Rattus norvegicus: one gene and its partners. The protein of the gene in region 1 interacts with the protein of each later gene in a pairwise test. Links are inferred from orthologs where the notes say so. Each region holds a gene or a part of one and is shown in the gene's direction. Other genes may lie near its edges.

The links.
Region 2: the proteins of Ttc23 (region 1) and Lzts2 interact in binary tests that used the Homo sapiens proteins (3 or more experiments, as listed by UniProt). The two-hybrid records come from large-scale screens. The link is inferred for Rattus norvegicus from reciprocal best matches to the Homo sapiens genes TTC23 and LZTS2.
Region 3: the proteins of Ttc23 (region 1) and Htt interact in binary tests that used the Homo sapiens proteins (3 or more experiments, as listed by UniProt). The link is inferred for Rattus norvegicus from reciprocal best matches to the Homo sapiens genes TTC23 and HTT.
Region 4: the proteins of Ttc23 (region 1) and Trim10 interact in binary tests that used the Homo sapiens proteins (3 or more experiments, as listed by UniProt). The two-hybrid records come from large-scale screens. The link is inferred for Rattus norvegicus from reciprocal best matches to the Homo sapiens genes TTC23 and TRIM10.
Region 5: the proteins of Ttc23 (region 1) and Golga2 interact in binary tests that used the Homo sapiens proteins (3 or more experiments, as listed by UniProt). The two-hybrid records come from large-scale screens. The link is inferred for Rattus norvegicus from reciprocal best matches to the Homo sapiens genes TTC23 and GOLGA2.
Region 6: the proteins of Ttc23 (region 1) and Maged1 interact in binary tests that used the Homo sapiens proteins (3 or more experiments, as listed by UniProt). The two-hybrid records come from large-scale screens. The link is inferred for Rattus norvegicus from reciprocal best matches to the Homo sapiens genes TTC23 and MAGED1.
Region 7: the proteins of Ttc23 (region 1) and Crebzf interact in binary tests that used the Homo sapiens proteins (3 or more experiments, as listed by UniProt). The two-hybrid records come from large-scale screens. The link is inferred for Rattus norvegicus from reciprocal best matches to the Homo sapiens genes TTC23 and CREBZF.

Annotation. Positions count from the first base shown.
Region 1 is NC_086019.1:130,664,486-130,668,716, forward strand, and holds the start of Ttc23 (tetratricopeptide repeat protein 23), read left to right. Parts: upstream 1-1,431; 5' UTR 1,432-1,504; coding exon 1,505-1,556; intron 1,557-4,231. UniProt on the Homo sapiens protein: Participates positively in the ciliary Hedgehog (Hh) signaling.
Region 2 is NC_086019.1:253,830,788-253,834,898, forward strand, and holds the start of Lzts2 (leucine zipper putative tumor suppressor 2), read left to right. Parts: upstream 1-1,311; 5' UTR 1,312-1,353; coding exon 1,354-1,761; intron 1,762-3,309; coding exon 3,310-3,972; intron 3,973-4,111. UniProt on the Homo sapiens protein: Negative regulator of katanin-mediated microtubule severing and release from the centrosome. Required for central spindle formation and the completion of cytokinesis.
Region 3 is NC_086032.1:80,101,169-80,104,668, reverse strand, and holds part of Htt (huntingtin), read left to right. Parts: intron 1-991; coding exon 992-1,171; intron 1,172-1,275; coding exon 1,276-1,452; intron 1,453-1,665; coding exon 1,666-1,742; intron 1,743-3,115; coding exon 3,116-3,254; intron 3,255-3,500.
Region 4 is NC_086038.1:1,700,670-1,704,969, reverse strand, and holds the start of Trim10 (tripartite motif-containing protein 10), read left to right. Parts: upstream 1-1,500; 5' UTR 1,501-1,857; coding exon 1,858-2,286; coding exon of another isoform or gene 2,287-2,307; intron 2,308-3,679; coding exon 3,680-3,775; intron 3,776-4,300. UniProt on the Homo sapiens protein: E3 ligase that plays an essential role in the differentiation and survival of terminal erythroid cells. May directly bind to PTEN and promote its ubiquitination, resulting in its proteasomal degradation and activation of hypertrophic signaling.
Region 5 is NC_086021.1:35,995,283-35,998,782, forward strand, and holds part of Golga2 (golgin subfamily A member 2), read left to right. Parts: intron 1-401; coding exon 402-460; intron 461-730; coding exon 731-872; intron 873-1,390; coding exon 1,391-1,480; intron 1,481-1,588; coding exon 1,589-1,696; intron 1,697-1,840; coding exon 1,841-1,928; intron 1,929-2,263; coding exon 2,264-2,601; intron 2,602-2,844; coding exon 2,845-2,958; intron 2,959-3,407; coding exon 3,408-3,500. UniProt on the Homo sapiens protein: Peripheral membrane component of the cis-Golgi stack that acts as a membrane skeleton that maintains the structure of the Golgi apparatus, and as a vesicle thether that facilitates vesicle fusion to the Golgi membrane.
Region 6 is NC_086039.1:63,415,964-63,419,985, reverse strand, and holds the end of Maged1 (melanoma-associated antigen D1), read left to right. Parts: coding exon 1-346; coding exon of another isoform or gene 347-377; intron 378-441; coding exon 442-505; intron 506-631; coding exon of another isoform or gene 632-658; coding exon 659-738; intron 739-887; coding exon 888-979; intron 980-1,195; coding exon 1,196-1,275; intron 1,276-1,366; coding exon 1,367-1,409; intron 1,410-1,554; coding exon 1,555-1,617; intron 1,618-1,923; coding exon 1,924-2,038; intron 2,039-2,722; coding exon 2,723-3,100; 3' UTR 3,101-3,108; intron 3,109-3,317; 3' UTR 3,318-3,522; downstream 3,523-4,022. UniProt on the Homo sapiens protein: Involved in the apoptotic response after nerve growth factor (NGF) binding in neuronal cells. Inhibits cell cycle progression, and facilitates NGFR-mediated apoptosis. May act as a regulator of the function of DLX family members.
Region 7 is NC_086019.1:153,828,482-153,832,561, forward strand, and holds the start of Crebzf (CREB/ATF bZIP transcription factor), read left to right. Parts: upstream 1-1,280; 5' UTR 1,281-1,798; coding exon 1,799-2,866; 3' UTR 2,867-3,073; coding exon of another isoform or gene 3,074-3,089; 3' UTR 3,090-4,080.

The DNA of each region.
Region 1 (4,231 bases):
TTTTAATATCTGTTGTCCCAGGATTCCCTAGGATTCTACTTACAGGATCATGCCATAATAAAAGTTTTCTTTCTTCCTTTTCGGCCCTTATGCTTTTATTCTTCTTGCCTACTTACTCTGATTGGAACACAAGCTTGAATACGGGTGTTGAGAGAGGACCTCCTCTTCTTGTTCCCTGTCACAAGAGGAAAGCATTCAAGACAGTCACTGTTAGCTTGTTGGGTCTGATGGCAGATGCTCGATTTCTAGGTACTTGGGAGACACAGGCTTGAGAACTGATAAGGCCAGACTGGGCTCCATAATAAGATGGATTGACGGCGGGGCAGAGAGACTGAGAGAGATTACTCAGTTGGTAACATGCTTTCTGTGTAAACACGAGCACCCCAGTTTGGATTCCCAGTACCCACAGGGAAGCTGGGCCATGGTAGTTCTTTGCATGATCAAGCTCATCAGTCAACTGGTCCAGCCAATCAAGTCTGAAGAGATCCTGTCTCAAAGATTAAGGTGGAGACACCAAATACGTGCACACACACATTTAAAAAAAAATAAAAGAAAAATTAGTAGAAAGAGGAAGAAACATCTTCCCTGCACCTATCAAGACGAGGTGGTTTTCTTCTCTGTGACTCTAGTGCATAACTCATATGTCAACCCAACTTCCCATTCTTTTAATAGACCTTTGAGGCTGCACTATATAGCCTTGTCTCTACGTCGCTATATCTGAGTTTAATATACACTTTCAGAAAGATAATGATTTGCCCTGTCTCGTGTGTCTGACTGGTTTCATGTGTTGCATTTCCGACGGCTCTCATCTGTGCTTTCTGCAGTTTGTAGAGCTGATTTTTCTTCCTTTTTTTTTTTTTTTTTTTTTTTTTATGTCTTGGTAGACTTCACCACTGGAGATGCTCTGGACCTGAAACCCAAGTTTGTAAATGATTTAAATTCTTAGTTCAGTTTCTGGAGTTATTGTGGATTTAATTACATTTTGCTGAGCCTCTGTCCTCCCTGTTTTTCTGTGTTATTTCCCAATGCCCTATCTTTATCTGGGCCAGGCTACTTAGCTAATATACTCTGACACCATCATAATAATTATTTCCTAAGAGCCATTGACCTGAGAGTGTCTACACTTTTCCCTTAGGCCTGCTACACCTTCCCATGAGTCAACCAAAAAAGCTACGAGCTGGAACCCTGGGGACTTTCAGGTCCCTGCTCTTGAATGGTTGCCCCCTAAGCAGGTGAATGGATCCTTTGATCTTCCAGCTATTAAATGTTTGAAACATCACCCCAGTCTTCCTTCCACTTGAGACCTCTTCTCACTATGATCCAAGGCCTATCATGTGTTTCTGCACTCTACTAGGCAGGTCTGGAAGAAGGAATAGCATCCATTGATTAGGTGAGTCTGACTGGCAGTTGTGAGTACAGACTGAGAGAGGCCTTTGAAGCTGCGAAGGGGAAGGTGGTGTATGGGGCCTTGGGCTGATTTCTAGTGAAATTCTGAGCCACAGCTATGGCTGTTACAAAGAAAAGAAAGGCAGCCGATGATAAGCGTGTAGCTCCAAGTAAGTGAACTGAAGCCGAGGTCTTTAAAGGAAAGGTGTTCCTATAGGGCGCAGTCGCGCGCTGAAAGTGTGAATCTAAAGCAAGGTCACTGATTCAAATCCTTTCAGAAGTCAGACAGGTAGTGTTGCACCCTTCAGAAACACACATCTCCTTTGGCAGTTAAGCATCTCCGAGATCAGAAGACCCGCCACTGCTATTGGCATGTGGCAAATGGGGTGTGAAGTAGCAGCGTCCTATAGCCAACCATGCCTTAGGTGAAACTTTGGCAATGGGTGGCCCGGGTCAGGAAAATCCCGTCCCTCTGCCTACTCCATCCGTCTCACTAGGGAAGAGAGACAAATACAGAAATCTACTCTTAGGAAGAAAAACTACCGCACCGGTGACTACACTGCTGTGCCCTGGTGCCAGTGGAGCCCGGAGAGCAGTCTCCGGAGAGGTCGCCAGCTCCCTGCTTGCTGGGAAGGCTGACCGTCCACCCTGCCTGACAATTGCCCTAAAGCTGATAGGTGTTCTGAGGTTTCAAAGGCAGAAACCCCAGGAATCTAGATCTTTATGTGAAACTCCAGTTTGCCTGCTTGTTTCCGTTAGCTTATGAAGTAACAGGTTTCCTCACAAACCCATGTTTGGTTGATCTCCCTCCCCCACCGGGTACCCTCTCACTTCCCCCCACCCCCCCACCCCCGTTTCTACTTTCGTATCACATAAGTTCTATTACCCTCCCCTCCTCTTTGCCTCAGAGATTCTTCCCCACTCCCCAGTTTTGCCCACTTCCTTCTAGATGTAGATATTTAACAGTTCAAAGCTGGGATCCTCAGTCAACGATCCTAGGTTACCCCAGTTAATATATTTTCCAGTTCTTTCCGTTTTCCCGAACGTCTCACTCATAGTTTCGGTTTTGTTAGTGGATGAATAAAATTCCAGCGTGTATGTGTACTAAATGTTGATTATCTGTTCCCCTTTTGATAACATGTAGGCCGATTCCCTTTACCGTCCTTGCCAATTTGAATAGAGTGATAGTAATCGTGGGTGTCCAACCACTTCTGGAGTAGAATGTAGGGCTTTTTGGATATAAGCCTGCCTAGGAGTTGTGTAGCTGGATCATAAGGTAGCTTTGATTTTAGTTGTTTGAGAGCCTTCTAATCTTAAAATAATGGCTCACTTTTGACAAAAAATATTTTAGTAAAAAGAAATCCATGTTAGGTACAACCTATGGATGCTCTGTATTGGATATGTGTGTGTGTTATGTATTTGGGATACAATATTAAGAGGCACTGTAGTGAGAATTTTTGTTTCTTGAAAAACACAGAAGAAGGACTGTGTGACTGTTCTCATCCCAGGTGTGGGACAGGGGCTGCTTCAGATTGTCCACAGCAGCTGACTATGATTCGCCTCATTCAGGAGCGTGATTTTGCCAGCTGCAGATAGTGTCTGTGATTGTGTGACTTAGAATTCTGGAGACTTCTGAGAGAGTGTATAAATCCTAGGGCCCCAAGGGGTGGGGTGTTACTTGGTCGACGTTGGTTAAATAGTCGTGCACAAAGAAGAAATAAGAAAAAAATAGGTATCCTGACGGTGAAGATCTAACTTGCCCCAAGGAACTCCATGCCTCTAATCAGCAGGAAAAAGTCTAATGATAAAGTCACCCCCTTTCCCTCTATTCTTTTTTCTCCCCTGTATAGTGTTAGGGAGTTGAAAGGTAGAGAAGGGGTTTGGAGAGATGGCTCAGAGGTCAAGAGCATTGACTGCTCTTCCAGAGGTCCTGAGTTCAATTCCCAGCAACCACATGGTGGTTCACAACCATCTGTAATAGGATTTGATGCCCTCTTCTAGTGTGTTAAAGACAATTACAGTGTACTCATATGCATAAATAAATAATTCTTAAAAAAGAAAAGGTGGACAAGGGCAGAAGGAACAAAGAACCCACAAAGTAGCCAAAGACAGCTACAAGGCAGCATGAAACAAACCGTTTTATTTTAATCCTAAAAACAAAAGTGAGAAACCTATTTCAAAGTTTAACCTTAGACTCACAGGCCCAAAAATAACAAATATTTTTGACATGTTAAATTATTTCAAACATTCTTTCTCTACCTCCCTTCCATTGCAAAGTGAAAAAATGTGTTTCAATCTGTTGAAGGTGTTGCCCCACCTGCTCACAAGAATTGATACTTATAACATGCCTTCTGTGGATTTCAAAGGAGAGTCTTTGCTTCCTACAGCTCTAGATTGTGGTCGGAGCAAGCCAGTATGATGCACAGTTTCAGCAAGTTGTTACTTGTTACCAGCTTTGGGGTCCTGGTTCTAGCCCTGTGGTATTATCCAAGTATTAGCTTCTCTAGCTTCATTCCCCTTAATAAAATGGAAGTAGAAGTAACAAGATAGGGATAGGATTGTCTGCCCCTGACACTCACAAAGTAGTCTAAGAGCCATGCGTGACAAAGATGGAGAACATAAAGCTTTTCTGAGCTCTTGGTTGTCAATGTTGCCCAAGTCATGTGGGCAGGCGGGGCAGCTCGAGTTCTTGAATCTCAGCCTCCCAGTGCTTAGACCATAATACCTGTTAAAACAGACTCTCTTTAACCATCACGGGTTGGATGGACGAGGAAGTGTAAGGCAAGAAGATGCCTTTTAAACGCCAGCCAACAGCCTGGGATACAGCACAGTACTGAGTCGGTAT
Region 2 (4,111 bases), about 120 Mb from region 1:
TCCAGGGCAGCCAGGGCTACATGGAGAAACCCTGTCTTGGAAAAGCAAACAAACAAAACAAAAGAATTCACATGTACAGCTGAGCATAGGAGCACAAGGTTAGAATCCCAGCTGTCTGAGGCAAGAGGATCCCTGAGTTTGAGGCCCACTTGTGGTGCATGGCACAACCCTGTTTGTTTTTGTCATGTCCCCCTACATCTCGTGTGTGTGTGTGTGTGTGTGTGTGTGTGTGTGTGTGTGTGCACGAACTATCTGCCTAAACTCATACTGCATATTTTCATGTACGTTTTCACAGATTCTCTTCATTTTTATGGTCCTGTCTATGTACTCACACCACAAGTGTACACATACACACTCTCTCATGGAGGCCTCTGTCCACTTCTTGGCCCCTGAGCTACATGATGACTTCAGCAGATGCCTAAGTCTTGGTCATCGGCAGCCTTGGGACTGGGAGGGAGTTCCGGGTGCAGGCTTGCTATCCTTCCCAGGAAGGAGCAAGACTGAGGATGGGGGGTGGGGGTGGAGCCATCTTCCTTGAGATCCTACCAGATGTGGTAATGGGCTCCTGCTCAAATTCCATAGGAGTTATTCCGAAGATCAACTAAAGCAGGAAGGTTTATAAAGGTTGACAGTGGGACAGGGCCTGTGTAGGCTACCTTAGTCCCAAGTGATGGCAGAAGCTAAGAGTTGACATAGAAACAAGCACAGCCTATATCGACCTCTGGGAAGTAGGAGACCCCAGAGGGCATCTGTGGGTTCCTAAGACCTGTGAGGTTTCCTGTTTGGCCAGCTCCACCCTCAACGCCGCCTGAGTGTCTGGGAGAAACTGAGGCCTAGCAGTGGGAGGCTGGACAGTGCCTGGCTTTGGTTCTTTGTTCCCTAATTACCATCTGAGTTACTGATTGTATCCCTGACTTGTCCTCTGCCCAAATAGCCCAGGAATGAGGCCACCTGTCCCAAGAGAGTAGGGACATGTACTGGGAGCTAGTAGTTAGGGATCTCTGCCCAATCTGAGACTTCGCTATATAGGGGATACAGGTTTGGGCTTAACTGGGTCTCCTCTGTCAAGGAACCCTGCATAACCTCTTAGTTCTCCCATTCTTTCATCTCTGTTTGGTTGAGTTGTTCCTTATCCTTGTTCCAGACTAGAGTTGAGGCCCAGAGGGACTTGAGGTTCATTGCCAGTTCTTGGGAGGTGAAGCTGTTTCACTATATGGGGAATGTTCTATCTGGAAGAGGGGGTCAGGAGAAGGCTAATAGGGGGAGGATCCTCAAGGTGCAGGGACTCTGACGCCAATGCCTTGCTCGCAGGTTGCCCTGGAGGCCCCTGGCCAGGCCTGAACCTCTGCCACCATGGCCATTGTGCACACTCTGCCAGTGCCACTGGAGCCCGCACGTGAGACAGCCACTGCCCCACAAACTCCAGCAATGGGCAGCGTGAGCAGTCTTATCTCAGGCCGGCCCTGTCCTGGGGGACCTGCTCCTCAACGCCACCATGGTGTCCCTGGGCCTACCTTCTTCCGCCAGCAGGATGGGCTGCTCCGGGGTGGCTATGAGGCCCAGGAACCACTCTGCCCAGCTGTGCCACCCAGGAAGACTGTCCCAGGCAACAGCTTTACCTATGTCAATGAGGACTTCCGGACAGAGTCACCTCCCAGCCCAAGCAGTGATGTCGAAGATCCCCGAGAACATCAGGCACACAATGCCCACCTCCGTGGGCCCCCACCAAAGCTCATCCCTGTCTCTGGAAGGCTGGAGAAGGTAACGGGCAGCCCTCTTGGGAGGATCTGGGTGGGGTCGAGCTCCCCGCTGGGGAAGCTAGAATTTGGAGGCATGGACTCTGTCTTATCTCTCTTTCTGGCTCAGGGAGATAACCTGTCTGAGCCCCATTTTCTGTGTCTTTACAGTTAAGGTTAGAGGATAATCTTTATAGGCTCCTGTTAGAATTAATACTCCCAAATGAACAATATAGTAGTTCGTGTTTCTCTCTCTCTCTCTCTCTCTCTCTCTCTCTCTCTCTCTCTCTCTCTCTCTTTTGGTGTTTGAGACAGGGTTTTTCTCTGTAGCTTGACTGTCTTGGAACTCACTATGTAGACCAGGCTGGCCTTGAACTCACAGAGATCTGCTTGCTTCTGCCTCCCAAGTACTGGGATTAAAGGCATTTGTTACCACTTCCAGCCAAGTTGCTTTAGTTATTATAGAGGTGTGTGGTGTGGTATGGTGTGGTGTTGTGTGTGTGTGTGTGTGTGTGTGTGTGTGTGTGTGTGTGTGCGTGCGCGTGCGTGTGTGTGTTTGGGCGAAGCCTTTGTTTACCTTTATTCTGGGACTGACTCTATCCTGTTTTTAGTAGGAGAGGAGGATAATGTTTTGCTTGCGTGGCTATTATCATGATTAAAAATAAGCATTTTGAATTACTTAACATAAGTAGACGTTTAGAAACGGTGCCGCCGGGGTTGGGGATTTAGCTCAGTGGTAGAGCACTTGCCTAGCAAGCACAAGGCCCTGGGTTTGGTCCCCAGCTCCAAAAAGAAAGAGAGAGAGAGAGAGAGAGAGAGAAAGAAAGAAAGAAAGAAACGGTGGGAACCATTGTTTTTCATTTATAGGGGTGAGAACCCTGTATGGGAAAGCCAAGTAGTATGATGATTTTGTAAGATCAAGGTGGGCCAGAGAGATGGCTCAGAGGTTAAGAGCACTGACTGCTCTTCCAGAGGTCCTGAGTTCAAATCCTAGCAACCACATGGTAGCTCACAACCATCTGTAATGGGATCCGATGCCCTCTTCTGGTGTGTCTGAAGACAGTGACAGTGTACTCATACACGTTCCTAAGTTCAGATCCAGTACCCATATAAAAAGGTGGCCGTTGTGGCAAAGGACTGGAATCTCAGCACTTGTCAGGCAGAGACAGGCAGATCCCTGGGGCTTGCTAGCCAGTCAAGACTAGCTGGATTGATGAAATCCAGGTCCAGAGATTGTGTAAAAACTTAGGTGGGAAGTGATTGAGGAAAGCTCCTAACTTTGACACTTTGACATTTGATCTTCACACATAGGCACCACGTATCCATACTCATACATATGCACCCCCCTCTGTGTGTGTGTGTGTGTGTGTGTGTGTGTTTTGAAAGATCAAGTAAGCAAAGTGGGCTTGGTATCACACACCTGTAATCTTGAAGGGCTTGTGTTCAAGGGGATACATAGTGAGTGGACCCAGGCCAATAGAGTAAAACCCTGTCTCACAACAATACTAAATTTTTTAAAAAGAAAGGGGTCGGGCAGATCATCCTCACAGTGTCACATGCTACCTCATTTCAGAATATGGAGAAGATCCTGATCCGACCAACAGCCTTCAAGCCAGTGCTACCCAAACCTCGAGGGGCGCCATCCCTACCTGGCTTCCTTGGTCCTCGAGCTGCTGGGCTATCTGGGAGCCAGGGCAGCCTGACACAGCTGTTTGGGGGGCCAGCCTCTTCCTCCTCCTCTTCCTCTTCCTCCTCTGCTACTGACAAACCCTTGGCACTCAGCGGTTGGGCCAGTGGCTGCCCTTCAGGAACACTGTCAGACTCTGGCCGAAATTCTTTATCAAGCTTGCCCACCTACAGCACCGGAGGTGCCGAGCCAACTGCCAACTCCCCAGGTGGGCACCTGCCCTCCCACGGCCCTGGCCGAGGGCCACTGCCTGGTCCAGCCCGAGGGGTCCCTACTGGGCCCTCCCATTCAGACAGTGGCCGGTCCTCCTCCAGCAAAAGCACAGGTTCCTTGGGGGCTCGTGTAGCTGGGGGGCTCTTGGGCAGTGGGGCCCGGGCCTCCCCTGGCAGCAGTTCGGGTGGAGACCGCTCCCCACCCCCTCCACCACCTCCACCCCCTTCGGATGAGGCCTTGCTACACTGTGTCCTGGAAGGGAAGCTTCGAGACCGAGAGGCAGAGCTGCAGCAGCTGCGGGACAGTGTGGATGAGAGTGAGGCCGCCGTGTGTCAGGTGCGGCCAGTGGCAGTCCTGGGGCGGTGTGGCTGAATACCCAGGGCCTAGGGACAATTCCTGTTGGGGAGGAAGAGGGTAAAGACTCATGATGTGACACCCCCAAGGCTATGAGCATAACCTTCAAAGCAGTGAGGAG
Region 3 (3,500 bases), on another chromosome or scaffold:
TACTTGACACTCCCAATATTGAAGTCATTTTTATATTTTGTTCCATTTTTGAGAAATGTGGTATAGTGGTGTTTTTTACAAAGAAAGAATAATTTTATAATTTAATACTATCCAAATAGTTGCAAGTGAAAAATATTAGCATTAACCAGATGTCAAAGATTCGATCAGGCTTTGGCTTCTGTCTAGGATTATGAACTAATCCTACAAATGGAAAGGTTGCATATTTTGTTTGTTTGTTTGGTCAATTTTTATTTTTTTCAAGATAGCGTTTCTCTTTATAGCCTTGGCTGTCTTGGAATTCACTCTGTAGACCAGGCTAACCTCATACCCTGAAACTTGTAGAGGTCTGCCTGCCTCTGCCTCCCAGGGGCTGGGACTAAGATGTGCATCACCACCTCCCAGCAGGTTACCTGTATTTTTAACTATGGTTGTTATTTATTTTTCTTATTAACAAACAAAAAAACCTTAAGTGACATTTTCCCATGTATTGGGCAGCTGTGTTTTTTGATTCAGGAACTCTATCAAATCTGTGGCATTTATTGTCTGTTTTAGCCACTGAGCATTACAGACAGAGTAAGTAAAGCAGCCCATGCTAGGCTGGCCTGCAATCTGGTGGCAAGTTCTATTCCAACATGGGGCTTCCTTTGTTTCCATGCATGCAAACTCCAGGCCAGTCACTAGGGAGGGCTACACCAGACTGCTCACCTTGCTCCTGTGGGCAGCTACCTCTTGGCGTGTCCAAGGAGCCAATTCTCTGATATTGAGGCATTTGCTAGTGTCTCTGGGAGCTGACATTGCCCTCAGTTCTTGGCTTCCTGTGGCCTCTACCACATGTGATCGAGGTGTGAGGCTCTATAAGTTTCCTTCCTTTCTCTCATTTACTTGTACTCAGACACTTGTCTTCACCAAGGCAAAATTTGTATTTGGAGTGTGTTTTTCTTTGGAGCCTTCTTGTCTACTTGAAATGTATCTTTTATTATATCTTTTCTAGTGTCAGAATCTCCATGACTCAGAACACTTAACATGGCTCATTGTGAATCACATTCAAGATCTGATCAGCTTGTCCCACGAGCCTCCAGTTCAAGACTTTATTAGTGCCATTCATCGTAATTCTGCAGCTAGTGGTCTTTTTATCCAGGCAATTCAGTCTCGCTGTGAAAATCTTTCAACTGTAAGTCTTTAGCCTGCCAGTTTGCTTTGTCCAACTTACTGGGATTTTGTCAGTACCAGTTACAAGTCTGAGGAATAATAAATTTTGTTCCTTCTCAACATTAGCCAACCACTCTGAAGAAAACACTTCAGTGCTTGGAAGGCATCCATCTCAGCCAGTCTGGTGCTGTGCTCACACTGTATGTGGACAGGCTACTGGGCACCCCTTTCCGTGCGCTGGCTCGCATGGTCGACACCCTGGCCTGTCGCCGAGTAGAAATGCTTTTGGCTGCAAATTTACAGGTACTGAGAAATGGTGATTTATATCAAAACTTAGAAAGTCAGTCAAAACATTTGGTCTGCTGACCTGGTCTTGATTAGCCACTGACAAGAGCATGTGTGCAATGTTTGTTATTTGTGTGTCTGACCAATGTCTCTTACTAGGACACTGTGCGTAGCACTTTATCCTATTTAAGTGCATATCACAAAAGCCCTGATGTATTCTTGTCTGTGTAGAGCAGCATGGCCCAGTTGCCAGAGGAGGAACTGAACAGAATCCAGGAACACCTCCAGAACACTGGGCTTGCACAAAGGTAAGACTGTAGCATGGGGTACAGGCATTTGGGTATTAACACATAGATATGTACAGGAACAAAGAGGCAGGCAAAGGAGTTAGTGTAGAGTGAGTTTACTGCAGCAGTGCCACAGTAGAGCTGGCTGTCTAACTGTCACATGAAAGTCTCACTGTAGTAGACATGAAGAAGTAGCAATCAAACACCTGTTGCACACACGAGGTGCTCCTGAACTTTCTGACTGTTGAAGGGATAAGAAATGTGTTTGTTGCCTCTGCTCCTGGACCCTTTAGGAATGGGAATAAACATAGAACCTAATTGCTAGGTTAGAAGGAATAAATATGAGAGCTCTACTTGGCTCTTGGCATGTACACATGGTATTTGTGTATTGTTAAGTGACCTCTCTTCATAGCAATTCTTTTGCCTATTTGTTTGAAAGTCTTTTAGAAACCTTTATTAGAAACATTTCAATCTGAAGTATAAGTGTAGTTCCTTAGTCAAGATAAACTAAGAAAAACTTTTACCTCTTTTCCGCCATTGTTAATAGGATAGGGAGCATATGTGCATAAAAGAGGGTGGTTCTCTCATAACTTTAATCTTAGAGTTTTTATGAGGGTGTTTCATAATGGGACAGGGCATAGTCTAGATAATTTTTTTCAGTCTGCAAAGCCACACAATGTTGTCATTTGACATACATAGTATCACATTGGTTTTGGATAGTAAGAGAATAAATTGTCATTATGTTTGATAATAGATGTAATCAGAGGCCTAGATGAGGAAGGTTATGACATCATAAATTATATTGATATAATTATTAATCATTATATAATGATATAATCATGATTATGATTATCATAAATATCTTTGGGCCAGATGAAATGATTTTTCTGTGAAGTGACCCTTCCTAATGAAATGAATTGTGTCATTATGGAGCATTAAATGGAGTTTGTGCGCTTGGATCGTAGAAGAATCTATCTGTTTTGTATATATTACAAATATGATGGCTAGGAATGTGTAATTCAGTGATAGAGCACTTGTCTAGCATGCACAAGTCCCTGGGTTCCATCTCTAATACTGCCAAGAAAACAAAGAGTAGAATAGAATAGCTTTATTAGCTGTTATATATTGTATTGCCTCATGGAATGTTGGGCATAAATGAAACTTCTGCAAAATATCAGTGAGGTATAAATTGTGGTAATTAAAAGTAAGTAGGGTCTAAGTGTGTGTCGTGACTTTAGGATGTTGAAGGGAAAGGTCAAGCATGTGCACCTTGTTAAGAAGCTGCTTCTGCTTGTTGGTATTACATGTTTCTAGAACTCACCTGTGTACAAATTGAGTTTCAGACTAAAGAATAAACTCTGGTTTATTTTACTCTGGTTTTGTTTGTATTTCAGACACCAAAGGCTCTATTCACTGCTGGACAGATTCCGACTCTCTACTGTGCAGGACTCACTTAGCCCCTTGCCCCCAGTCACTTCCCACCCTCTGGATGGGGATGGGCACACATCCCTGGAAACAGTGAATCCGGACAAAGTAAGTGTCCAGTATATCTAAGTATGATGGCCAGAGACCATGTGCAGACAATGGCAACCTCTGTCTCTAGTCAGGATGATAATGGTGACTGTCAGCACACATGGGCCCCTGACATGCAGCTCACTCAGGTCATCAACTGCCCTGCTTGGGATTAGAGTGCAGTATGGAGGCCATGAGGGCCTACTGAGAAAAGGAGTGCTAATGTGGACTTCTGTGGAGGTGTATGGGGTCGAGTCAGGCGCCTAG
Region 4 (4,300 bases), on another chromosome or scaffold:
CTTAAACATACTACTAATATTTATTTTCTCTCTTTTTATCTTTTAATATTTTTCTCACCCTTATTATGAGAAACGTTCAAATTTATTGATACTGTGAAGAAATGTTGGCATGAATGCCTTTGTGAGTTTTTGACTTTTGTTGACTATTGGGCCATCTGCTCTCTCTTCCATAAATCCGACAACATATATCTCCTCAGAATGAGAAATTCCTCCATACAACCACAGTGTCATTAAAAAGTTTAGCATGGGCCAGTGTGATACCTCATCACAACGGCAACTGCTGCCAAAGACCTGAGTTCTATCCCCCGGACCTACATAATTGAAGGGGAGAATCTACTCTACAAAGTTGTCCTTTGATTTCTACATCTTTGCCAGGATACCAGCACCCACACATACACATACGCATGCACCCACCCATATGCATACACACATATACACACATACATATATATGCACACATGCACACACATACACATGCACACATGTATACACACATATACACACATATGCATACATACATATACATGCATGCACACACATACACATGCATACACACATGCACACATACACAAGGACACACATACACATGCACACATACATACACATGCACACATACACAAGCACACACATATATACACATATGCATACACACATTACACACATACACAAGGACACACATACACATGCATATACACATGCACACATACACACGATAATAATAATAACTATATAATTTGAGGAAGAACTTTAGCAACCTATTAGTGAGTTCACTGTCAATATTCAAATGTCCCTTTACAATTCTGTTCCACCGGGGTCCAGCTCATATTGGCAACTAGAAATGTCTATATTGCATATATGCCTTTGTGGCTTTCACTGACTCCTTTTTCCTCAAGGCACATTTCACATAGCTCAGGCTGGCCTCCAAGCTGCTATGAAAGTGGAAGCTGGTCTTGAACTCCTGATTCTCCCATCTCCAGATAACAAGTGCTGAGATCACAGGCATGTGCCACCGTGTCTGGTTGTGCTATGGGTTTCTGGTAGACTTCATCTCCTGGAAGACCATAGCTTTGACTTCCCGATAGATCCCAGTCTCCTGTGCTCTGTTGGTTCCCCTTGGATGAGGTGAGGGAACCTGGAGGTCCAAACAGCAGGATGAGATAGCGCTGAGGTGAAATAAATAAGCTGTTTAAAGTGCTTCCTTCTATCAGTGGGAGATGTGTAGTCATGATAATAAAAAAAACAAACAAACAAATGCTGGCTCTATTTTTCCTTCCCCATGCATGTTTTTTTCTTCAGTAACCTCTCATAGGCCCATAGAGGCATCGCCACAGTTGCTTGTGCCGTGCACACCCGAGCTCAGGAGCCTTATCTGAGTCCCCACACTCCCGTGCCCACTGGACTTGTGCTGGCTGATACCTCCAATCTCCCTGGAGACAGGTGGCTATGTTGAAGAGCTGGGGTGGCAGCAGTCCTCTGTGAGTCAGGCTCCTCCCCGACCCCAAAGGAAAGATCTCTTTCAACAGTGGACTGCAGAGAGAATACACACTTATTTTTATGTTTTTTTTCCTGTGAGCAGCTTCGGGTAGACAGAAAGAGACAGTGAGACCCAGGCCATAGGAACTGGTCCGGAGAGTGAACTTATGATGCTGTGAGCTCCTGGGCCCTCCTCCTCTGCTATTTCTACATCTCCGCTGTTGGCAGGAGTGTGTCTGCTCCCAGGAGAGTCGAACAAGGGGTTCTGGTGCCAGAGATGTAACTGGGCCCCTTGTCCGAGTGTGTGTGACTGTACTAGTGTTCAGGACTGACGTGGATGAGAGATGGTGACTTCCAGGAGTCAGAAGGCCCAGTAGGGTTGACATGGCCTCAGCTCCTTCCGTGACTAGCCTGGCAGATGAGGTCAACTGCCCCATCTGCCAAGGCACCCTAAGGGAACCAGTCACCATTGACTGTGGCCACAATTTCTGTCGTGGCTGCCTCACTCGCTTCTGTGAGACCCCAGGCCCAGAATCGGAAGAGTCCCTCAGCTGCCCGCTCTGCAAAGAGCCCTTCCGTCCAGGGAGCTTCCGGCCAAACTGGCAGCTGGCCAATGTGGTGGAGAATATCGAGCGCCTTCAGCTGGCATCCACAAGAGGCCTGGAGGTGGAGGATGCCTGTCCGGAACACGGGGAGAAAATCTACTTCTTCTGCGAGGAGGATGAGGCACAGTTGTGTGTGGTATGCCGCGAGACTGGACAGCATGGGGCTCACACTGTGCGCTTCCTGGAGGACGCAGCAGGTCCCTACAGGGTAGGAGAGGATCCCTGCAGGGTAGGAAAGGGCTGTGGGGGACCCTCGGGGGAGCTGGATTGGACTAAGGGAAGTAGAAAGGTGGGAAAGGTGGTGTGGATTCTGGGCTGGATGGGGTATCCTGACTCCAAATTCTTTCGCCTTATTTAATCTCCCAGACATGTACTCTAGCACAAAGAAGCACAGGGTTCTAATTAAGAGCTCTACGTTGTTTCCTTGTGGGCCATAGTAAATCCTTTCCAAACGAATGAGCCATCAGATGTGTGTGTGTGTGTGTGTGTGTGTGTGTGTGTGTGTGTGCGTGCGTGCGCGCGCGCGCGCGCGCGCCTGTGTCCTGTATCAGTTAAGTGTGCTTGAAGTTTGTATCTTAGGGACTGACGATGCTTGTATATTTACAAGAGCGAACAGCTCGTTTGTGGAGGGGTGGTCTGAGCATGTTCTATTTGAAGCATGTCACGGAATGTTCCTGTTGCAAATGAGCTAGTTGGGTGACTGTTGGTGGCATATACATTCATTCTTCATTTAATTACCCATTAACCATTGCAGGTTTTAGTTGCTTTTCTGCCGTATTCTTTCATAAGTAGGCGCTTATATGTATGATGTGGCAATGTGTTCTTTTGATATAGTAAGACCAACTTGCCTCAGACTAATATATATATATATATATATATATATACCTCCTGGACGCTGGGGTTATAGGCGTGTGCTGCCACACTCACAGGGTTAGGGGTTGAACTCGGGGCTTCTTACTTGCCAAGCAAGCACCCTAATAACTGAGCTGTACCTCAGTTTCTAAACACACACTTGTGTGTTTGCTTGTTCCTAACTCTAGAACAATTTATAAAACCGTGGATCAATTATTTTTGCATCTAAGTCCCTTCTTGTATCATTTCTAGATTATCATTCTAATAAAAAGGGAGGCGCTGTTTGCATTTTTTCCCCTCTGGGTGAGAGAATTTCATTTTCACTCAGGAACACGTGGAGCTCAGACCGTAGGTGATGCAGAAGAAAGTAGTAATTTAACCTGAAAAAAGGGGGCTCAAAGAGGGAGGCAAAGTCCTGACCTTTGATGATACATGAGAATGGGGGAAACCCTGGTCACCATCTCTGGGGAACGAAGCAGGAGTCATAAGACTCGAGGCCAGCTCTGGTGGTACTTAGTCCTTGATCCTAATGTTTGGAAAACGGAGGCAGGGGGATGCTGAGTTTGAGTTAAGTCTGGGCTACATGAGATCCAGCCTCAAAATCAGAATGAGAACGAAGACCCTGAGTATCTCCAGGTGCTGGGTTCACACTCATCTCCAGGGCATTTTGCTCCCACCGGTTGAAGGGAGTGACCTTCCTTTACAGTTACTTTCCCCTCATCTTAGTATTTCATGCTCCTTCTACCCAGGAACAAATACAGAAGTGTCTCGTGTGTCTAAGGAAAGAGAGAGAGGAGATTCAGGAAACCCAATCAAGAGAAAACAAAAGAATACAAGTGCTCCTGGTACGTCTCCACCCTCCCCAGGCCCGGCTCCTTCCTCCAGAGTCTGAGGCCCACAGAGCAGAGACTTGAAGGTGCTTTGAGTCTGGATCCTGACTCTGGCATTGTTTCCTCCATCAATTCGCTAGCTTTGGCTTTACTCACTTATGAGATGGAGATTACGGATCATTTCCTTCTCCAATCACTGCAGGAATTAACGTGATCCTACCTCTAACAGCCAGCCTAGTGGTGTGTGCGCAGTGTGCAGGGCAAGAAGAGGCCAGGCGTCTCTGGGGTCTTCTCTAAGCCCCTTTTAGAAGCCACGGTGACAATGATAAGGAGACGATGCTGGGCTGTGTGGCTCCCGGAAATGGAGTGACAAGCAAGAAGAACACAGTTCCACATCCTTATAGGGACGGGGAGAAGGCGGGAGTAGGGGGTTCTGATTTTACTACCTAACCATGGGAGGGGTGTGTGTGTGTAGATCAAGAGGGAAATGGGAATCTATAAGGAAAGGGAAGAAAGTGGGGATGAGATGCCACAGGAAGA
Region 5 (3,500 bases), on another chromosome or scaffold:
TCAGAAGAGTGTTCGATTCCCAGTAGCCACGTGGTGCTTCACAACTGTCTGTAACTCACGCTTGTGGAGCACAGACATATGTAGACAGAACACCACTCCGTATAAATAAGTAGAACAAAGCAACCCTGAAGACTGTGACCTCTGGTCCCAGCTACTGGAGAGGCTGAGCCCTCTCAGCCCAGGAGGTTGAAGCCATCTTAGATAACATAGTGTCACCCCATCTTAAAAACAAAACAAACGGACAGAATCACAAAGGAGACAGAAATGTAGAAATGCCTTGGGAAAATGCCAAGTGTGATTAGGAAGAGGAATTGTCACTGGAGAATATCACCAGGCCGTTGGTGTTGTGCCAGCGGCTGCTTCAGCCTTTCATGTCCAAACTCTGCTTTCTCTGTCTGCAGTACAACAAGGACCTAACCAAAGAGCGAGACGCCCTCAAGCTGGAGCTATACAAGAATGGGTAAGAATGGGAAGGCGGCTGGGCTCTCTGCAGCCTCAGTGTGGAGAGTGGAGACTCAGCCCAGACAGGCTTGGGTTTGTGTAGAGCTGAGCTCTGGTCCCAGCCATGCTCCTGACTCATGGTGTGGTCCCAGGTAACTCAGTCTCTGAGGCCTGTCGCTTGTGACTCAGTGCTCTGTCCTGTGGTGCTGTGGCAGGACTCACACATCACTCTGAAATGGGCTCCTTTCTGTTCTTGATTCCTTCCTTTCCACCTTGCCACTGGCCCCAGCAAAAGTAATGAGGACCTGAGGCAGCAGAACTCAGAACTGGAAGAGAAACTTCGAGTCCTGGTGGCAGAGAAAGCAGCTGCACAGTTGGGGGCAGAGGAGCTGCAGAAGAAGTTAGAGATGTCAGAGCTGCTGCTGCAACAGGTGAGAAGTGCAGCCCTCACCCCTAAGGCCCAGGCACAAAGTCTGTGGCTCCTTGGGGGTGACCTGCGGCCAAGTATGGACAGTTTGGAACCTCCTCCTGTCCTGTGCTGATGCTGTTTACTAATTGCTCAGTGGAGCCCCCGCCACACCTGTGAATCAGAGTCTTAGTGAGGGTGATGTGGCTGTTGGATCCTTACTTTATTTATTTATATTATTGTTGAGACAGTCTTATCAGTAGCCCAGGGTGACCTGTAACTTACCAGGTAAGCCTTGAACTCATGGTAATCCTCCTACCGTAGCCTTCCAAGTGGGAGGTTGTAGGCATGAGCCACTAGGCCTGCTGAAATGCCAGCGTTCTGTTTCATTTAAATGGCCCAACAGGAGTCTGCTTAGCTTTTCCTGACACTTTCTCCTATGGCAATGACCCTGGGTTGTCATCCTAGCTCACACTCTTGTGGGGAGCACTTCAGCAGAACAGCATAGGCTCCCAGATCTAAGCCCTCCTTTCCCTCATGCAGTTCTCTAGCCAATCTGAGGCTTCTGGCAGTAATGAGCAGTTGCAACAGGCCATGGAGGAGCGGGCTCAGCTGGAGAGCCATGTTGGCCAGGTGAGGATCTGTGGGGGGAGGGGAAGGGCATGATCCCCCCTCCCCCCGCAATGGCCCTTGGTGAGGACCTGTGACAGCCCTTCATAACTCGTATATTGACTGATGCAGCTGATGGAGTCACTGAAACAGCTCCAGGTGGAGAGAGACCAGTACGCAGAGAACCTGAAAGGAGAGAGTGCCATGTGGCAGCAGAGGGTACAGCAGATGGCAGAGCAGGTGAGGCCTGGCCTCTGGAGTCTTCGCTCTTCCTGGGCATCAGTGTCGTGGAGCTGAGGGCTTAGGGGCTTCAGTTTTGCAGAGGTGGGACTGGGGATGGGTGGGCCTGGGATCTCCAGCACCCCCACCCTGTGCCTTGGGCAGGTGCACGCACTGAAGGAAGAGAAGGAGCAGAGAGAAAGTCAGGTACAAGAGCTGGAGGCCAGCTTGGCTGAACTCAGGAGTCAGATGGGTGAGTAGGGCAAGGGTGACCTGAGAGCAGGAGTGGGTCGAGGAGCCATGAAGGTGGCTTCCATTGCCCAGGGGGGCAGGTGGGTGTAAGGGCATTGTAATGGGGGCAAAGGGTCTCTGCCAGGACGAGGTGACAAGCCTTGTCATCTCTCTGAGCATGTGCCTTTCTGTGCAAAACAGGGTGGCATGCCTACTACTACACCTCAGCAGGTGACTGAGCATCCCAGATCTGTGCTAGAGTGGCTTGAAACACTTGCCTCATCTGAGACCCTGACAGAAAAGAAGCCAAGGCTTAGGGCAGGGAGCCTGACTCACAGTGCCTGCTTCCTTTCTCAGAGGAGCCACCACCTCCAGAGCCTCCAACTGGGCCTTCAGAGGCCGAAGAGCGGCTGCAGGGAGAGGTTGAGCAGCTGCAGAAGGAACTGGAGGGTCTGACGGGTCAGCTGCGGGCCCAGGTGCAGGACAATGAGAGCCTGAGCCACCTGAACCGGGAGCAGGAGGGACGGCTGCTGGAGCTGGAGCGCGAGGCCCAGCACTGGAGCGAGCAGGCAGAGGAGCGCAAGCAGATCCTGGAGAGCATGCAGAGTGACCGCACCACCATCAGCAGAGCGCTGTCACAGAATCGCGAGCTCAAGGAGCAGCTGGCTGAGCTGCAGAACGGCTTCGTCAGGCTGGTGCGGAGCCTGCAGGCCCTCCTTGCTTACAGGGAACACACTCACCCCTTTTGGTCAGCACCGGCAGAGGATGGGGTGCTGTCCGCCTCACGTTAGGTGGTAGTGGTGAAGGCACCCCACAATCCCGAGCCCTAGGGTGTGTGGGAATGATCCAGCAGCCTTCCCTACTCTGAGAGGGAGTACACATGCAATTCTGGGGACTCCAGCCACATTAGGTCCTACTGACTGTTGCTTTCTGTCCAGACAAATGAGAACATGGAGATTACCAGTGCGTTACAATCAGAGCAGCATGTCAAGAAAGAGCTGGCCAGGAAGCTGGGAGAGCTTCAGGAGAGGCTGGGAGAGCTGAAGGAGACGGTAAGGCCTACTACATGTGGTGTTGGCCACCAGACCTGGGGAGGGTGGGTGCAAGGCCCATCACAGATTAGCCACAGCCTGGAACAGGTATCCCTGGACTGCTCTCTATCCAGGAGCTGCCCTTTTATAGTCGTTGTCCTTTTATGCAGGGCTCTGGGTTCAGGCTGGATTCACACCCATGTGTTCAAGTGCTTCCCATCTCCAAACCTAGTCACTGAAGTTAAAAGATGAGTTTTCTCATAGAGGTGTTAAAGGTTTAATGAGAAAATGTGCATAAAATAACGGGTACTAGTAGGTTTGTGCAGAACAGAATGGGTTAGTTCCATCTGCTTTTCCACTCTTGGGGCCTAAAGGAGTGAGAAAGGTGACTATGTGAGGCTGGGTACAAAGGCAGGCGCTCAGGCCGTGGCAGCCAGCACTGCCTGCCCTCAGCCCTAGCCTTCCTGCAGGTGGAGCTGAAGAGCCAAGAAGCACAGGGTCTGCAGGAGCAGCGAGACCAGTGCCTGTCCCACCTGCAGCAGTACGCTGCCGCCTACCAACAG
Region 6 (4,022 bases), on another chromosome or scaffold:
CATTGTCTGGCCTGGCCCAATTGTCTGGCCAAACCCAATGGCCTGGCAGAGTACACCTGGATGGCAGAGCCCACCCAGTTGGCAGGCTCCACCTAGTTGGCAGAGCCCTCAAGATTGGCAAGGCCCTCCAGATTGGCAGTTACCACCTGACTGGTCAATGCCTCCTGACTGGTCCTTTCCCTCTGACTGGCCTTTTCCACCTGACTGGATCCCTGCCGACTGGCCAATTCCACCCGACTGGCAGAACTTACGACCCTCACCTAATCTGAGATCCTCCCCCAACTCTCGTGCCTCACAGAACCAGGGTCCTCCACAGCCCCGAGATGTGGCCCTTCTTCAGGAAAGAGTAAGTGCTATACCTCTCCACTTTGTTTACTGTGGTCCTTCCATTTGTAATCAACCAAGTGTTCTGCAAACCTAATTTGAATTATTTCCCCCCAGGCAAATAAGCTGGTCAAGTACTTGATGCTTAAAGACTACACGAAGGTGCCCATCAAGCGCTCAGGTAGGCCCTTCTCCTGACCCTGATGTCCTGTCCACTCCCTCCCATAGCTGATTCTACCTCTGAGGAGCCTGACCGGGCTGTCCTTACCAGGCCTGGCCAAGGGGCTGCTACTGTGCTCCAGCTCAGTCCTGGTGCTTCCCTTCTCTCCTACAGAAATGCTGAGAGATATCATCCGAGAATACACTGATGTTTATCCAGAAATCATTGAACGCGCATGCTTTGTCCTGGAGAAGGTAAAGAGCCACACCTGGGAAACTAGAATGACGGTCAAATTCTCCATTGTGTGAGATAACTACTGGAGTTGAGGACAAGGTTCACAGCGCTGTGACTGCCTGCCTATTGGCACGTTATGCTAAGTGCTGTCATTTGCTTGCTTCTGTAGAAATTTGGAATCCAGCTCAAGGAAATCGACAAAGAAGAGCATCTGTATATCCTCATCAGTACCCCTGAATCCCTGGCTGGCATACTGGGAACGTAAGATGGGAAAGGGGATGTGTTATGGCCTTCCTTGGTGATGCTTTTTGCCTAAGAGTTTCAGTATTCAGTCACATAGGAGGTCATGGGCAGAGTGGGGGCATAATGATCTCCACTGAGGAATACTGGAGAAGCTAAATTGGTAAGCTTGTGGGGTTTTTCGTGTAAACAGCTGCTGGGTGTGTATATATCTGTATTCTTTTTGTACTCCTCTAGGACCAAAGACACACCGAAGCTAGGCCTCCTCTTAGTGATTCTGGGCATTATCTTCATGAATGGCAACCGTGCCACTGAGGGTGAGTGACTGGACTTGGAGCTGGGGGTTGGCTGCAGTCTGATTTCCATGCTCACTTTCCATGCCTTCTCTCTTCTTGCCTCCTATTGCAGCCGTCCTCTGGGAAGCACTGCGCAAGATGGGACTACGTCCTGGGTACGACTGGGCTCCTTCATCTGAAGTATCCTTTAGCAGCAGGGGATGTCTTAAATTATGATGAGATTAGATAGGAAGACAGTCTGTAACTCTCTAGTTTTCTTCAGGCAGAATCTCTGATTGTCGTTTTCTTTTTCACCATCAGGGTCAGACATCCCCTCCTTGGCGATCTGAGGAAACTTCTTACTTACGAGTTTGTAAAGCAGAAGTAAGTGGTCCTTAGAATTCTGGCTCTGCTTGGTCTGCATCAGAAAAGGTTCTTTAAACGTGACTTACAGCACTCCTGTAGGTTCACAGAATTATCCAGAAGTGTTTACTGAAGACACGCTTTGAGGTGGAATGTTTTTACAGCATAGTTATTAGTAAAGCCTGTCCTCTTTTCTCATAGTACACATTCTCAGGAAAGAGTAGTAGTCCAAGATGATAAAAACCTGAAGCAGCAACTTTAGCACAGTATTATTTAGCATGTATTTTGTTGCAGACTGCCCATAAACACAGACTTTTTCCTCTTCAGATACCTGGACTACAGACGAGTGCCCAACAGCAACCCTCCTGAGTATGAGTTCCTCTGGGGCCTCCGCTCCTACCATGAGACTAGCAAGATGAAAGTGCTGAGATTCATTGCAGAGGTAATAGCGGAATCCATGGTAGCTTAATCGGGTTCAGTCCCCAGAACCTGCGTAAAAAGCTGGGAGGGAGGGGATGGTGCGTGTTTGCAGTCCAGTGCTGGGAGGTGGAAATAGGGGCTCACAGGGGCTCATGGGCTCACACTGGAGCCTGCTTGTTAAGAAACACTGTCTCAGATAATAAGGAGGATAGTACCTGAGGAACAACAAACAAGGTTGCCTTCTGTCCTTCCACATACTTGCACATGTATGTGCACACACATAGTAACACACAAGAAAAAGCAGTTTACAGATATACAGTAGTCATTACCTTATAGACATTCTGCTGCATAATAGATACAGAGCTTAATCATTACACCGAACTCAAGTTCATACACTTTGATGAATATGTCCCTATTCTTCATCCCACGTAAGCTAACCCTGGCAACCACCATTCTAGTCTATGCCCGTGAGTCTAGTTTTAGATTGTCCACTTGTCAATAAAAACAGTACTTGTCTCTGTATTGTCTTGCTTACTATAACGTCCTTCAGCTTCACCCGTATGGTCATGAATACTGGGATTTTCATTTTTAAAGGCTGGATAGTATTCCATTGTGTATAATACAGTATTTTCTTTTTGCATTCTTACTGATTATGTATCTTGGCTACTGTATAAGGTTTGGTTTAGTTTTTTATTTCTCATTGCAGGTTCAGAAGAGAGACCCTCGTGACTGGACTGCACAGTTCATGGAAGCTGCAGATGAAGCCTTGGATGCTCTGGATGCTGCTGCAGCTGAGGCAGAGGCCCGGGCCGAAGCAAGAAACCGCATGGGGATTGGAGACGAGGCTGTGTCTGGGCCCTGGAGCTGGGATGACATTGAGTTTGAGCTGCTGACCTGGGATGAGGAAGGAGATTTTGGAGATCCTTGGTCCAGGATCCCCTTTACCTTCTGGGCCAGATACCACCAGAATGCCCGCTCCAGGTTTCCCCAGGCCTTTACCGGCCCCATCATTGGCCCCAGCGGCACTGCCACCGCCAACTTCGCCGCCAACTTCGGTGCCATTGGCTTCTTCTGGGTTGAGTAAAGTGTCAGGTAAGTAAATCACTTTCAATTAAGCAGGTAGGGTTCTGCGGGGGATCGATATATGCTCAGTGGGGGAATTGTATTCACAGTCTTAAGCTAGTAATGTACAGCCCATGGTGGAGAAAAGGGAAGTACTGAGTATGAGTACTCTTTGGTGTTTGTGGTCTTATTACTTATACAGCTAATTGAATTATTTCCCCCATTTCTTATGTTCACAGATACTGCTCATCATTTGCAATAGTTTTCCCTGAGTGAGGCTGAAGCCTCAGATTCCTTCAAAACACAGCTATCTAGAGAGCCACATCCTGTTGACTGAGAGTGGCATGCAAGATAAATTTATTTGCTATTCTGTCTATTACTTTTTTTTCCTTGTGTGTTGTCAAGTTTTGGTATCAGAAATAAATGTTGAAATTGCAAAGTGAATTAAATGTGCTCCTCATGTTTTTTGTATGAATACCCAGAGGGAGAGGGAGAGAGTTCAACATTTTATTGGCTCTAACCTGAAGGGCAGATCAGCTTTCAAAAGATGGAAATGTGGGTAGATCCAACTAATGGTTTGGAAACCAAAGGAGGGATGAATGAACACAATATCAATGAAATCTAAGGACTGGTGTAGAGGTTCATTCATTAAATCCCACATATGGAATGAATGTGGTGGCTATGCCGTATAAGAAAAGGAATGGTGAAGGCAGGTGGATGGTCAAAACAAACACATGTAAGAGGGACCTGGGGGCGACGGGGGCCGGGGAGGGGAAGGGGAGAACATGATCCCGTAGTGTGTGTGTGTGTGGGGGGGGAACAGGAGTGAAGCCCTGAGGCCCAGCAGAAAGAATGGAAACAGGCAACCTCGGGAGGAAGGAGGAGGGGGGACCCTCTAGAATGTACCAGAGACCTGGGAGGTGAGAGACTCAGGACTAAGGGGA
Region 7 (4,080 bases), about 23 Mb from region 1:
ATGACTTTCTTTTCTTCTGTAGCTTTTATGAAACTATTTCCAAGTTGGAATTTGTCATTCAGAGCATCCTGAATCATATGTTTCTGGGCCAAGGTCTATCTAGCACAAAAATAAACCCTTTCCTCTGTTGTCTTCTGGGAACAGGTGTTTTGTCTTGACATCACTTTCCCCGTGCGAACAGGTGGAGTGTGCTGTAAGGAATCAGGAAGCAGACAGCTGCCTGATGGGTGGCACATAGGGGAAGGGGCCACAGATAAATAATAAAGATCACCCCCTCGGGCTTCTTCCTCACCACTCTTACCTGTGACAAAGCCATGTAATTCCTTTTCTCTTGCCTAGTTGAAGCTGGTCCTGAAAATGTTTACTTGAAGATGTGGCTGGGCGTGTAGGTTCCTCTTTCTTTGCTTAAGTTCATCCATTCAAAATGGGAGGAGGAGGAGGGGGACAGATCCCAGTCCACCAAGAACACTAAACTCCCCAATCTCTGTGTGTGTGTTTCATTTTTAATAGCTGATTATGTTCGAGTTTTTCCTGCTTTTAGTTCTTTAATTAGCAGAGGCCAGCCTAAGACCCCATAGAAGCTACATCCATCCCCTGGACCCCTGCGCTAGCACTGGGGGGTGTGTGTGTCCCCACAAGCTCGAACGCATACTGACAGGAATCCTAATTCACATTGAACTTAATTAAAGCATGCTTTCATGCAATTTTATTCAGCAACTAACCTCCCTTCTCTCTCTAGTTCATCTGTACTTTCATTAGCTTTTTTTTGGAAAACAGGAGCTAAGGTGTGGTGTTTCGTTAAATTGTAGAGCATTTGTAAACGTTTCAGCTCTTAAATGCTGGATGAAACCAGAGAAACAGCACGAGCAATCCAGAACCACGGGTCCAGAATTTTATTAAAAATGAATTAAATTTTATTAAAAATGAAGTAGTGTTTTCTTCAAGACTTGGTCTTTTCAAAAAGTTGGTATTTTAAAAGGATAAGGATAAGGAACTGTTGTGGCTTGACAAAAGAAGAAAAAAAGCAGAAGAAAAACAGCAAAACAAGAGACCAATAAACAAACCAACCACTCCTGGCAAATCAGCTAATACTGCAGTGACCCTTGTTACAAAAACAAATAAATAAATGATAAAATAAAATTGGTCCGATGACAACAATAATAGCAGTAACAATGATCATTTTCTGAGACTAAGGACCTCTGAATGTCGCCCAGGGTTTAGTCCCTGACTGTGTTTCTCAGATTTGAAGATTAGCCTTTTGTTTTAGCAGGGACTATTTCCATAGTTGTTTTTCTTGCAGTCTAGAGAGAAACAGCAAAAAATAAAACTGCTCATAAAATAGCTTTTTATATAGGTGTGTCAAATATGTCTAGACTTCAAGTATTGGGTTGCGGAGATTGGTACTGGGTAGCACCGCTGCATGTGGGGGATAGAAACCTAGGTTTTATTGTTTTTGCCGCGGCTCCTATGACATCACCGCAGAGCAGGAGTTACTGCACCTCGAAAGCGCTCGGAATCTCGCGACACTCTGGCTGGAGAGAAGCGCGTTTTTGTGGGCGGGGTGGGGAGAGAGTAACTTCCGGCCAGGCCGCTGTTTGGGTGGCGCGGCCGACTCCTCTCGGGCCTCGCCGCTTCGCGCTTCCACTGCCTTCCCCCCCGCCTCGTGCGGGGGGTTGGGCGGCCGCGGGAGGCCACTCAGACCTTCCCGGCGCCTGTGGTCGGCCCGGCGCTGTGGCTCTGCGCGCGGGGGCCCGGGGTCTCAGGGGCTGCGGCCTACCCGGGCCCGCCGCTCAGCCTCATGAGGCACAGCCTGACCAAGCTGCTGGCAGCCTCGGGCCGCGACTTCCCGAGCCGCCGCGACAGCCAGGAGCCGCCCGCCACGCGCGCGCCTCCCCCGGACCCGACTGGGGCAGCCGCGGGGACGGAGACGTCAAGGCCCGGATCCCCTGACCGCGAGCAACCTCACGGGGACGGGGGCGAGCCGGAGGCCCGGAGGGGGAGTCGCGGCAGCGTGGCCGTGCGCGCGCCCGCGCCCTCGCCACTGAAGATGGAGGAGGAGGAGGAGGACGCGATCGCTATGGTCCCCAAAGAAGAGCAGGAGGACATGGACTTTCTCTCCGGGCTGGAGCTGGCCGATCTGCTGGACCCTCGGCAACCGGACTGGCACCTGGAGCCCGGGCTCAGCTCGCCCGGGCCCCTGTCCTCGTCCGGCGGAGGCTCGGATAGTGGTGGCCTATTGAGGGGGGACGACGACGACGAGACCGCGGCCGCAGAGATGCAGCGCTTTTCTGACTTGCTGCAGAGGCTGTTAAATGGCATCGGAGGCTGCAGCAGCGGCAGCGACCGCGGCGGCGGGGAAAAGAGGCGGAGAAAGTCTCCGGGAGGAGGCGGTGGCACCAACGACAACAACCAAGCGACGACTAAGAGTCCTCGGAAGGCGGCGGCGGCCGCTGCCCGACTTAATCGGCTCAAGAAGAAGGAGTATGTGATGGGGCTGGAGAGTCGAGTCCGGGGACTGGCAGCCGAGAACCAGGAGCTGCGGGCCGAGAATCGGGAGCTGGGCAAACGGGTGCAAGCACTGCAGGAGGAGAGTCGCTACCTACGGGCTGTCCTAGCCAACGAGACCGGACTGGCTCGCCTGCTGAGCCGGCTGAGCGGCGTGGGACTGCGGCTGACCACTTCACTCTTCAGAGACTCGCCCGCCGGTGACCATGACTACGCCCTGCCGGTTGGGAAGCAGCCTCAGGAGCTGCTGGAAGAGGACGACGCGGCGGGAGGAGTGTGTCTCCATGTGGACAAGGATAAGGTGTCGGTGGAGTTCTGCTCGGCGTGCGCTCGGAAGGCGTCGTCTTCTCTTAAAATGTAGGGTCAAGTAATCTGCTCTTTATCCGCGTTTACCCCTTTCTACACCCTTACACCATGTAAAACACCTTAGTGGGACATCTTCACCGGACGCATTTGAGAGGCGGAAAAAAAGTAATATTAAGTCTTTTAAGTGTTTAGCTAAAAGCATGAATGTGACACTGTAACCAACTCCTAATGATAACCTGTGACTATTAAATCTCTCTGACAGTTTCTTTTTTAGGTGATTTCCTTCCTGCCAGGCTCCGTTGTAGGGGTTACAGAACAGTCGTTCCCGCCTCACAACCTGGTAAGGATCCATCTCTTCACGTAACGCTCATGCTCTGCTGCTTAGCCTAATTTAATGGGCAAACATCTCAATGTGTGTGTGTGATACCTTTTTTGTTTGTTTCTTTTTTCTTTTTAAAGGTGGGAGGGCAGTCTTAATTTGGGCCTTGTCCACCCTGGAAACAGACTTGTGCTGGTCATTAATGTACTTAAGTTGCTAATGGTTGAAATAGCTGTTAAATGTGTCCCCTTGTTCAGAGTTTTGCGTGTACCTAGCTCTTCTGTCCCCAGTGTGGACATGGCCTTGGATGACATCGGTTCCAACTGTACACTGAAACCTGCTAATAGAGATACAGTTTGGAGACAGTGAAACAGGTGAAGTTGAATGGAAGTTCCGAGTTGTACAAGGTGCAAATTGGAATTCCAATTGTAGAGCAACTTTTCAAAGGTTGACAATAAGTATTGAGGCATGCGCAAATGTGGTATTTTTCTGGAGATGACAAATCTCCTAAAATACTTAAGAATGCCTTCTAGTTTTCAGTAGAAAATGCAGAAATACAATCTATTTAAAGATCCTAATATTTCACCACTTGAGAAGATGGAAATTAATTTACCCATCAGATTTGTGTTTTAATTAGAAGACGATAAATGAAATGTTTCTTTGAGGACCAGCACAGTATACCTATCAATGAGTATGAAGAAATTGTTGAAAGTATTTATTTTTGTTGTATTAAAATTTAGGCTAAATTTCTGTACGATTATTAGATATTGAAGGTTGTGAAATGTGAATGAAAACATGTAAAGTGAGGCTTCACAAAGAATCTTCTCCCTATTTCTAAAACTTTTGTCCTACTTAAAAATACTTTTTAAAACTAATTATATGATTGATACTGTTTTTCCAAAGATGGAAACATCTTTCTTCTATTGTCCACATGTCTAAATGTGTGTTCT